2 linked regions of the Sus scrofa genome follow. The protein of the gene in region 1 purifies or fractionates together with the protein of each later gene. This does not show direct contact. Links are inferred from orthologs where the notes say so. Each region holds a gene or a part of one and is shown in the gene's direction. Other genes may lie near its edges.

What was found.
Region 2: the proteins of KCNA5 (region 1) and KCNAB2 purify together in Homo sapiens (co-immunoprecipitation; 3 studies listed by BioGRID and IntAct, counting the BioPlex papers as one, with this or other methods). This does not show direct contact. The link is inferred for Sus scrofa from reciprocal best matches to the Homo sapiens genes KCNA5 and KCNAB2.

What each region holds. Positions count from the first base shown.
Region 1 is NC_010447.5:65,439,179-65,443,440, reverse strand, and holds KCNA5 (potassium voltage-gated channel subfamily A member 5), read left to right. Parts: upstream 1-1,233; 5' UTR 1,234-1,505; coding exon 1,506-3,308; 3' UTR 3,309-4,105; downstream 4,106-4,262. UniProt on the Homo sapiens protein: Voltage-gated potassium channel that mediates transmembrane potassium transport in excitable membranes. Forms tetrameric potassium-selective channels through which potassium ions pass in accordance with their electrochemical gradient.
Region 2 is NC_010448.4:66,926,823-66,931,332, forward strand, and holds the start of KCNAB2 (voltage-gated potassium channel subunit beta-2), read left to right. Parts: upstream 1-1,556; 5' UTR 1,557-1,694; intron 1,695-4,510.

The sequences.
Region 1 (4,262 bases):
GAGGAACGAAAACTGTCAGCCCAGATGTTGGGGAGCAGGAACTCTTTTACCCTTATATCTGAAAGGGGGTGACTCATTTCTAGAGAGGAGCACAGGGACAGGAACAGGGTCCTGAACTCTGCTTGCTTGGGTTTAAATCCCAGCTTTTACCGTGTTCTAACTGTGTGACTTTAGGCAAGTTAGTCCATCTCTCTGTGTCTCATTTTCCTTGTCTCTAAAAAGTGGAGATAATAACATTGCTGAGAAAATGGGTTGCCAAGGGAATAGGCCAGTCAATATTTGTAAAGTGCTGAAAATGGACCTGACACAACAAAAGAGCCAAGTATGTATGGATTGTTATTCTACTGCTGAGAATTCTCCAGCCCCGGGCACTCCACAAGCTCCGGGGCTCCCTCTCCTGAAGAGCCCCCACCCCAACTCCCTACACAGATGTGCTTTTGGTTCCGGCTCCCAGCTTCACCAGGCAGAAACCACTCTCACCAGCTTCTCTCTCTCCCTCCTCCCCTTCCCTGCTCATGGTTTCTGCTAATGGCTTTGTGGGGAGAGCAGCGAGGTTGTGAGCGTCAGGGCAGCGAATCTCCCAGACCCAGCTGGCTGCCTAGGGCTGCTGGGTGGCATCTGCCCTCTGACCACCGCTGTCTGCACTGGGAATGGGGGCTTTACTAAGCGGCAGGACACACTAAATTTTCCCTCAGTTACCTTTTGGTACCAATGTATGCAGGGAGATGGGAAAAGAGATGCTTCACCTTCAATCTGGAGATACAGACATATATATATACATTTTTTTTTCCCAAGGTCCATAACTATCCTGCCCCCTCCTGTTTGTAATTCTGCCCAAAGAAGAGAGACCCTTTATTCCTCCAAGGGAGAAACGTAAAAAGCACTGCCTTCTCTCATACTCCCTCTCATCTCAAAATCATCCCTCCAAGGGCAATTCATTTCCCCCTGAGCCCATCGGCGCTCAGCGGGCTTCCCAGGTGAACTGAAATCCAGAGCTATTCTCATCTGGTTGCCCTTGGAGTTTCAGCGCTCTCGGTACAACCTGTTCCTCCATCCTCCCCACTCCCTCTCTCCCTCCCTTCCTTCCTCCCACCGCCGGCGGAGCCCCGCTCAGCCCCTCCCTCCTCGCTCGGGCCCCAGCTGCGCCCTCCGGGGAGACTCCCGCTGCCTCTGAGCCCGGAGGGGAGGCGGGGGAAGGAGAGGACGACAGGGGGCGGGGAGCCGCGCGGGGCGGAGGCCGCGCCGGGCGGCTGGAGGTTGCATCTGCTGGAAGGCGGCTTTTGGCTGCTTGGTAACGGGCTGCCAGAACCCAGAGAGGCAGAGGGCAGGGCAGCGGCTTCTTGACGTCAGGACCGAGCGAGGGGACCCGGCCAGCCACTCCAGCCCGCCCCACAGCCGTGCCGGCGGCCAGCAGAAGAGGCGTCAGGCGCGGGTCGCCCAGCAGGGTGTGAGGGGGGCGCGGGAGTCAGTCCGCAGGGGCGCAGCATGCCCCCCGCTCCCGGACCATGGAGATCGCCCTGGTGCCCCTGGAGAATGGCGGTGCCATGATCGTCAAGGAAGGAGGGGAGGCCGGCACCGCAGGGGGAGAGCTCCGCTGCCCCCCGACGGCTGCGCTCGGAGATGGACCCAAGGAGCGGGAGCCAAGGGGCCGCGGAGCAGAGAGGCGCGCGGATCCGGGAGGCCGGCCGGTGCCGCCGCCGCCCCAGGAGCTGCCGCAGTCGAGGTGGCTGCCTCCGGAGGAAGAGGAGGGAGATGGCGACCCCGCCCTGGGCGTGGCGGAGGACCAGGTGCTGGGCGCGGGCTCCCTCCATCACCAGCGCGTCCTCATCAATATCTCGGGGCTGCGCTTTGAGACGCAGCTAGGCACCCTGGCGCAATTCCCCAACACGCTCCTGGGGGACCCCGCCAAGCGCCTGCGCTACTTCGACCCCCTGAGGAACGAGTACTTCTTCGACCGCAACCGGCCCAGCTTCGATGGCATCCTCTACTACTACCAGTCCGGGGGCCGGCTGCGGAGGCCGGTCAACGTCTCCCTGGACGTGTTCGCGGATGAGATCCGCTTCTACCAGCTGGGGGACGAGGCCATGGAGCGCTTCCGGGAGGACGAGGGCTTCATCAAGGAGGAGGAGAAGCCCCTGCCCCGCAACGAGTTCCAGCGCCAGGTGTGGCTGATCTTCGAGTACCCGGAGAGCTCGGGCTCCGCGAGGGCCATCGCCATCGTCTCAGTCCTTGTCATCCTCATCTCCATCATCACCTTCTGCTTGGAGACCCTGCCTGAGTTCAGGGATGAACGCGAGCTGCTGCGCCATCCCCCGGTGCACCACCAGCCCCCTGGACCCGCCCCAGGGGCCAATGGCAGCGGGGCAGCGGCGGCGCCGCCTCCCTCAGGTCCCACAGTGGCGCCTCTCCTGCCCAGGACCCTGGCGGACCCCTTCTTCATCGTGGAGACCACGTGTGTCGTCTGGTTCACCTTCGAGCTTCTGGTGCGCTTCTTCGCCTGTCCCAGCAAGGCTGAGTTTTCCCGGAACATCATGAACATCATCGACGTGGTGGCCATCTTCCCCTACTTCATCACCCTGGGCACCGAGCTGGTGGAACAGCAGCCAGGGGGTGGGGGAGGGGGCGGCCAGAACGGGCAGCAGGCCATGTCGCTGGCCATCCTCCGAGTGATCCGCCTGGTCCGCGTGTTCCGCATCTTCAAGCTCTCCCGCCACTCCAAGGGGCTGCAGATCCTGGGCAAGACCCTGCAGGCCTCCATGCGGGAGCTGGGCCTGCTCATCTTCTTCCTCTTCATCGGCGTCATCCTCTTCTCCAGCGCCGTCTACTTCGCCGAGGCCGACAACCAAGAGACCCACTTCTCCAGCATCCCGGATGGCTTCTGGTGGGCCGTGGTTACCATGACCACGGTGGGCTATGGGGACATGAGGCCCGTCACCGTGGGGGGCAAGATCGTGGGCTCTCTGTGTGCCATCGCTGGGGTCCTCACCATCGCCCTGCCTGTACCCGTCATTGTCTCCAACTTCAACTACTTCTACCACAGGGAGACGGACCACGAGGAGCAGGCAGCCCTTAAGGAAGAGCAGGGCAGCCAGAGCCAGGGGACAGGACTGGCCAGCGGTGGCCAGCGGAAGGCCAGCTGGAGCAAGGGGTCCCTCTGCAAGGCTGTGGGGGCCCTGGATAATGCAGATGGATCCCGGAGGGGCAGTTGCCCCTTAGAGAAGTGTAACCTCAAGGCCAAGAGCAATGTGGACTTGCGGAGATCTCTGTATGCCCTCTGCCTGGATAGCAGCCGGGAAACAGATTTGTAAGGGGGATGCAGGTGGATAGTTGGCAGAGAGCTGGGGACAGCGGGGGGCCTCCTGACCTTGGGGATCTACTTCATGGCGAAGAGTATTTCTAGCCCACCCTGTAACCTAGGTCCGCCCCTTCTTCTTTCACTGCTCCCCTCCTGCGTCTCCTTGATCCCCTAGTTTTTCTTTCCTCTTCTTTCCATGACACCCAGGGTCACCTATTTTTAAAAAGTACCACATTCCATGACGCAGGAGCTGTTGAAATGGTGAGCACTGTGAGATGGATGTATTTGTAGCCAGTTTCCTAGACCCAGCAGAGGGATAACCCAAACAAAAATGGCTTTAAATAGCCCAATCCCCAGAGAATTGGTAATCTCCCCCCATCCCTGTGTTCCAAATTTGCTTTACATATAATTATATTTGTGTACATGAGAAAATATTATTTTTATGGCTGGCGAGTGGATTTTTGTACTGTAGTTCAGATGGAGAGATTTTGGATATATTTTCAAGACATACATTGTATTTATGAAAGAGGAGGTTATGGCAACATTCTCCTGTGATATTTCTATTACAGTCCGAGACCCTGGTCTGGCTGTTCTGGTTCCTGTTATCTGCAAGCCTCTCTCTTTTCTGAGTTGTGATTTCGGTGCTTTGTGTCTAGGGCAGAGAATGCTCTGGAAGAAAGCAAGTCTAACTTTTTCTGTGCGCCTTAACCAGTTCTTGTAACTTTCTTCAAAAAGCATCGATGTTGGAGGAAGACTTCTGATAATTCATTCTCTTGATTTTTATCCCAGGAAATAAAATGTTACTTGGTCGAGGCAAGTGTTAGTTTCTTCTAGAGCTCATGTATCTTTTGGAAATTAAAAAAAAAAAAAAAAAGGTCTATCCCTTGCAGTTTCTGGTTCTGGAGTCAGAGCAAACGCTGCCTTGACCAGGGTAGAAAATTTGCAAAGCTCATGATTGGACTATCAT
Region 2 (4,510 bases), on another chromosome or scaffold:
GAACAAGGTCGGGCGCCCCTGAGACCCGAAAGCTTTGGGGAGCCTCCCTGAGAGTAAGAGGAGGTTGAATTAAGCCCTGCCGAGAATTCCTCATCCAAGGAATATTCTCTTGAGTACCTACCATGAGCCAGGCCCTGGGAAACCTCCTGAACACTGCAGCCCAGCTCCCTGCCCTGGTTTGGTGTATCTGGAGGGAGGCAGAAAGACAGGATACGAGTCAGCACAAGAAGGACATGGTCGTGACCTATGAAAACCACAAGGCGCTGTCGTGGAGACCTGGATTGGAACCCTGGGCGAGTATCCAGCCATCTAAAGCACATCTTTTCCAACCACACAGCCTCGAGAGGCCAGGCTTCCTTCCTGTCCTTCAACCAAAATGACACACTGCCACACTGAAGGCAGGACCAGGTCTGCAAACGCAGTTGTCTTCCATTGAGACAGGCGTGGAAGAGATGTGCAAAGGTGGGGCCTCTGAGTCTTAAAAAGCAAGCAGGAGAGCGACCATTCCGGCCCGGTGAAGGGCCCAGGTGCGGAGCTCAGAGGCGGTCAGGGGATCAGCGGGCTGGACAGCGGAGGGGAAGGCGAGAGCAGCTCCAGGGGGAGGCTATAGGCGGGCAGGGCCTCCTGCGAGGGCCAGAGAAGGCCAGACCTCCAATGGGAGGCGTCGCCGGGACGGATCTTCAGGGCCAGTAGCGGGCAGGCACCCAACCGGGAAAGGCTCCCAGCAGAGACAGGCAAAGCAGGGACCCTCAGCACGGGTCCGGCCGGAGAAAAATGAGGGCCAACGCCGTGATCTCAGCAATCCCAGGCCGGCCACACCGCGCTCGCCTTAAGCTGGAGGGCCGCAAAGGGGGCGCTGAGTCAAGGGGCAGAGTGCAGAGGTTGAACCCCCAAAAGCCCCCTTACCCTTACAGGACCAGCGGCCGAGGCCGCACCAAGTGTCAACGAAGGGGGAGGGGAGGTGTGACCGACGCGGGCATACCCCGCGCCCGCCCGACTGCCGCGCCCTGCAGGTACCAGGCCCCCGCCGAGAGACTCAAGAAGCACCCCAACTCCGGGCTGGAAGCCCCAGCCCGCTTGGCGGCCCAGCGCGCCTCCAGGCCGCGGCCAACCTCCCCCACGGCGCCAGCCGAAGTGGTTTCGCCCGCGGCGGGCGGCGTTACCTAGGAGACGCGCCAGCCGCGGCCGCGCCCGCCCCGGGGCTTCGAGGCCCACGCTTTCGAGGAAATGCACCCCAGATGGATCCAGGGGCCCGGCGGCCGGCCAATGCCCACCAGAGCCGCAGGCCCAGCAGGCAGAAAATCGGCCGAGAAGCGCCCGATCTGCTGCCACTCGCCGGAGGAGCCTTGGAAAGGGAAGGACCCGCCCCCAGTCGCTGTCGTCAGCAGAGCGGTGGGACCAATCAGAGCCCAAATCCAGGGGCTCCGCTCCGCGAGCGCTAGCCAATCAGCGCGGCGGCGGGCTCGTCCTGATTTGCATTGCCCGCGAGCCTTCAGCCAATAGGGGTTTGATTGGCGTGAAGGCTAGCCAATGAGAGCCTCGCAGAGGCGTGGCCCCGGGCGTCCCACGAGGTGAAGATGCTGCGGGCGGAACCTGGTGGAGCAAGCGGGATTCGGGGGCGCTAAAGTCGCAAGGGCAGGGCGGGAAGGAAGATCCGGAACGGGGCAGAGGATCCGGAGCTGGAGCCCCCCCAGGTGAGTGCAGGGGGAGACCCCGGCCTTCCGCGCAATACACGGCAGTGCGCCGGGAGAGCGACGGCGGGCACCCGCGAGGCCCGCGCCGACTCTCCATCTCCTCTTCCCCAGCGCGTCGCCGCTCCCGCCTCCATCCTCACCTCCTCTCCAGCCGGCTCACTTCCCTCTCCATCATCTCCCTTCCCCCATCCCGTCCTCTCTTGCCTGCCCGTTCTGCCAACCCGCCCGACCCTTTAGCTCCATCCCCGACCCCTGCCCCAAACTTCATCCCTCTGGTCCCGTCTCTGCCCCCTCCTCTTACCGCAGCCTCGCCTCCCCCTGCCCCATCCCCCTTCCCGTCTCCTCTCCCGGTTCTGCGCATCCCCATCGGAGGGCTCTTGGTCCAAGTCCTCCGCATCTCTCCTCTCCTTGTTGCTCCTGAAGGCTCACGCTGCCTCTCCTTCCAGGTTCCTGGCACCATCTTCCCACCCATTCCGTGCCCAGTCTGTAGGTCTTCCCCCGTGGGCGCCCTCTTCCCACCTTGCCCTGCTCTCCAAGACCTTGGCGCTCCCTTCCTGCACCAGTTCGTCTGGCTGCCTATACACCCGTCCCCACCCTGGTCCCTATGCCCCTACCCCATCTTCAGCTTCTTTGCTCCCCACATTCCCTACCTGCTCCTGCTCCTGCTCCCGCAGGACGAAGGTCGCAGGACACAGAGACCCAGCTGCTGCAGGGCTTCCTGCTGCAGTAGCTGTAGTGTACCTGTCCACCTTCCCACCCTCCCATCCAGGCAGCCTACCCCAGCTCTGCTCTTCTTGGCATTTGTCCTGAGGGCTCCTGTAGGGTCTGCAGTCTGTCTAGAGCATCTTGGGGGGGCTCCAGGTGGAAAGTCCCTTAGCACCCTTCCCTACTTTCCCCCCCCTGTCCACCGTCTCCCTCCCCACCCAACCCCCACTTTCCTGCTCAGCCTCACTTTGTGATTCAGCGTTTTTGGGGCTGGTAACTCTCTTTACCTCCTGGCAGGATAAGGACCTGGTTGTCAGGCTGAAGGCAGGAGGTCTTGACCCTGCATTTAGAGGGGCCACATTAGCAAACAGTCCTGAACTGCCTGATGGGGACAGGGTTGGGGACCAGGGAACCCACCAGGGGAGGCTGCCTTTTCCTCTCTTTCACTTGTCTGCCCGGGGTTGAAAGACATCCAAGGGAGATGACAGAAGTAATAGCTCTTGGGGAAATGGGCTCTTAGCATTTATGGAAATTAATACATCCACGTCTGAGGAGCCAGAACACCAAGTTCAGGCCACAGCTGTCTGTCGTGTCAGGATTTCTTCTTTCTCTGCAACTTCTCCTCCCCCTCAAAAAACGCCATCCGCCTTGCAATGCCAAGAGCAAGCTCCTGCTCTGCTAGCCACACCGCATTCAGGCCCCATGCTGCTGCAGGGTTTGGACACCCGCGTGAGGGCCATTGCATCTACCCTCCAGATTGCCGCTTGGCATTTGCATCTACCTGCAGAGCCCAGGCTGCTGTGCAGTTCCTGGGCTCCTGTCCCTGTGCTGCCACAGGGGGCCCAGAGGGCATTGGCCCCCGGGTCCCGTCCGTCAGGAACGCTCTCCAAGCCCACACCGGGCCTCAATGACGCTGAGGGTGTTTGGGTTGCAGCACCTTCCTGCCTCGAAAGCAGCCTGCTGGAGGCTTCCCATGACAAAGCCCAGGGCTCTGTGCCTCTCACGGCTGCGCCTGTCGACAGACACGGGGCACGGCTTGATGCCAGGGCACCAGGGAGGGGGGCAAAGGGTCATGCACAGTGTGAAACCCAGTCTTGTGGCTGGATGGTTATGAGTAGGCAGAAAGCGGTTGGCACACAGGAGGCATGACAAGACGGCCACCACTCCTTGTCCTGTGAGGGTCACTGGGGCTCATGGGATGAGCAAGCTCTAGGGTGGGGTAGACCCAGAGACGTCACACCATGGGCTGGCCTTCTTTCCTCCTTCATGATCGGCTAAACCCCAAATGATTCAGGAGGAAGTGAGTGGCACAAGTTTTGGTGGCAGTTTCCGGTGAGGGAGGGGGCCTCCTCTCAACTTTCCTGTTTGTTGGTGCTGGGTCCATGGCAACTGGGCAGCACCGCGTGTGGCAAAGGAGAGTGGGCGAAGGAAGGCCTCTGGGCTGCTAGAACCCGGGGGAGTGTCTTTGGATTCCCAGGACTCCGGATGGAAGGAGCGTGTGTGTTTAGTCCTTGACTAAACTCTCCATGACCTTGAGCAAATACTCCATCGCCAAAGGTCCCGGAGCCAGAGCAGTTTCCTCGAGTCCCTGAATAAACGGGCAGAAGAGTGGCACTTCAGGCCACATTCAGGGAGGACCAGCTCTGAAGGTGTCCCGGACCAGAGACCCCACCCCTCCCTCCAGCCCTCCCAGCAGCCAGGGGTCCCAGCAAACATGCATGTGCTGCAGGGGTCTTGGGCGTGTCCCCTTTTGGAGGAGTTAACAGAAGCCAGAGGCCCTGGCTTCTCCAAGGTCGCTCAGAGGTGGGCTGGGTCGGGCCCCATACCTGCCGCCAGACTGAGGCAGGCCCCTTCACTCGTTCTTCCTCTCGGAGTAAAACGACACCCCATGGACCCGCCGACCCCCTGCCCAGCCACCCTTTGGCAAGCAGTTGTGAGGCGGTGCTGACATGGGTGGAGGAAACAGCACCCTGAGTCACTGGGGCCGACAGGAGCAGGAGATGCCACCAACCACAGAGAAGTCTGGGCGGCCCTATCCTGCCCCCCCCCCCCCGGCAGGTCCCCAGAGCAAGGGCCCTGTGGTTCCCAAGATGTCATCAAAGGGATGGCAG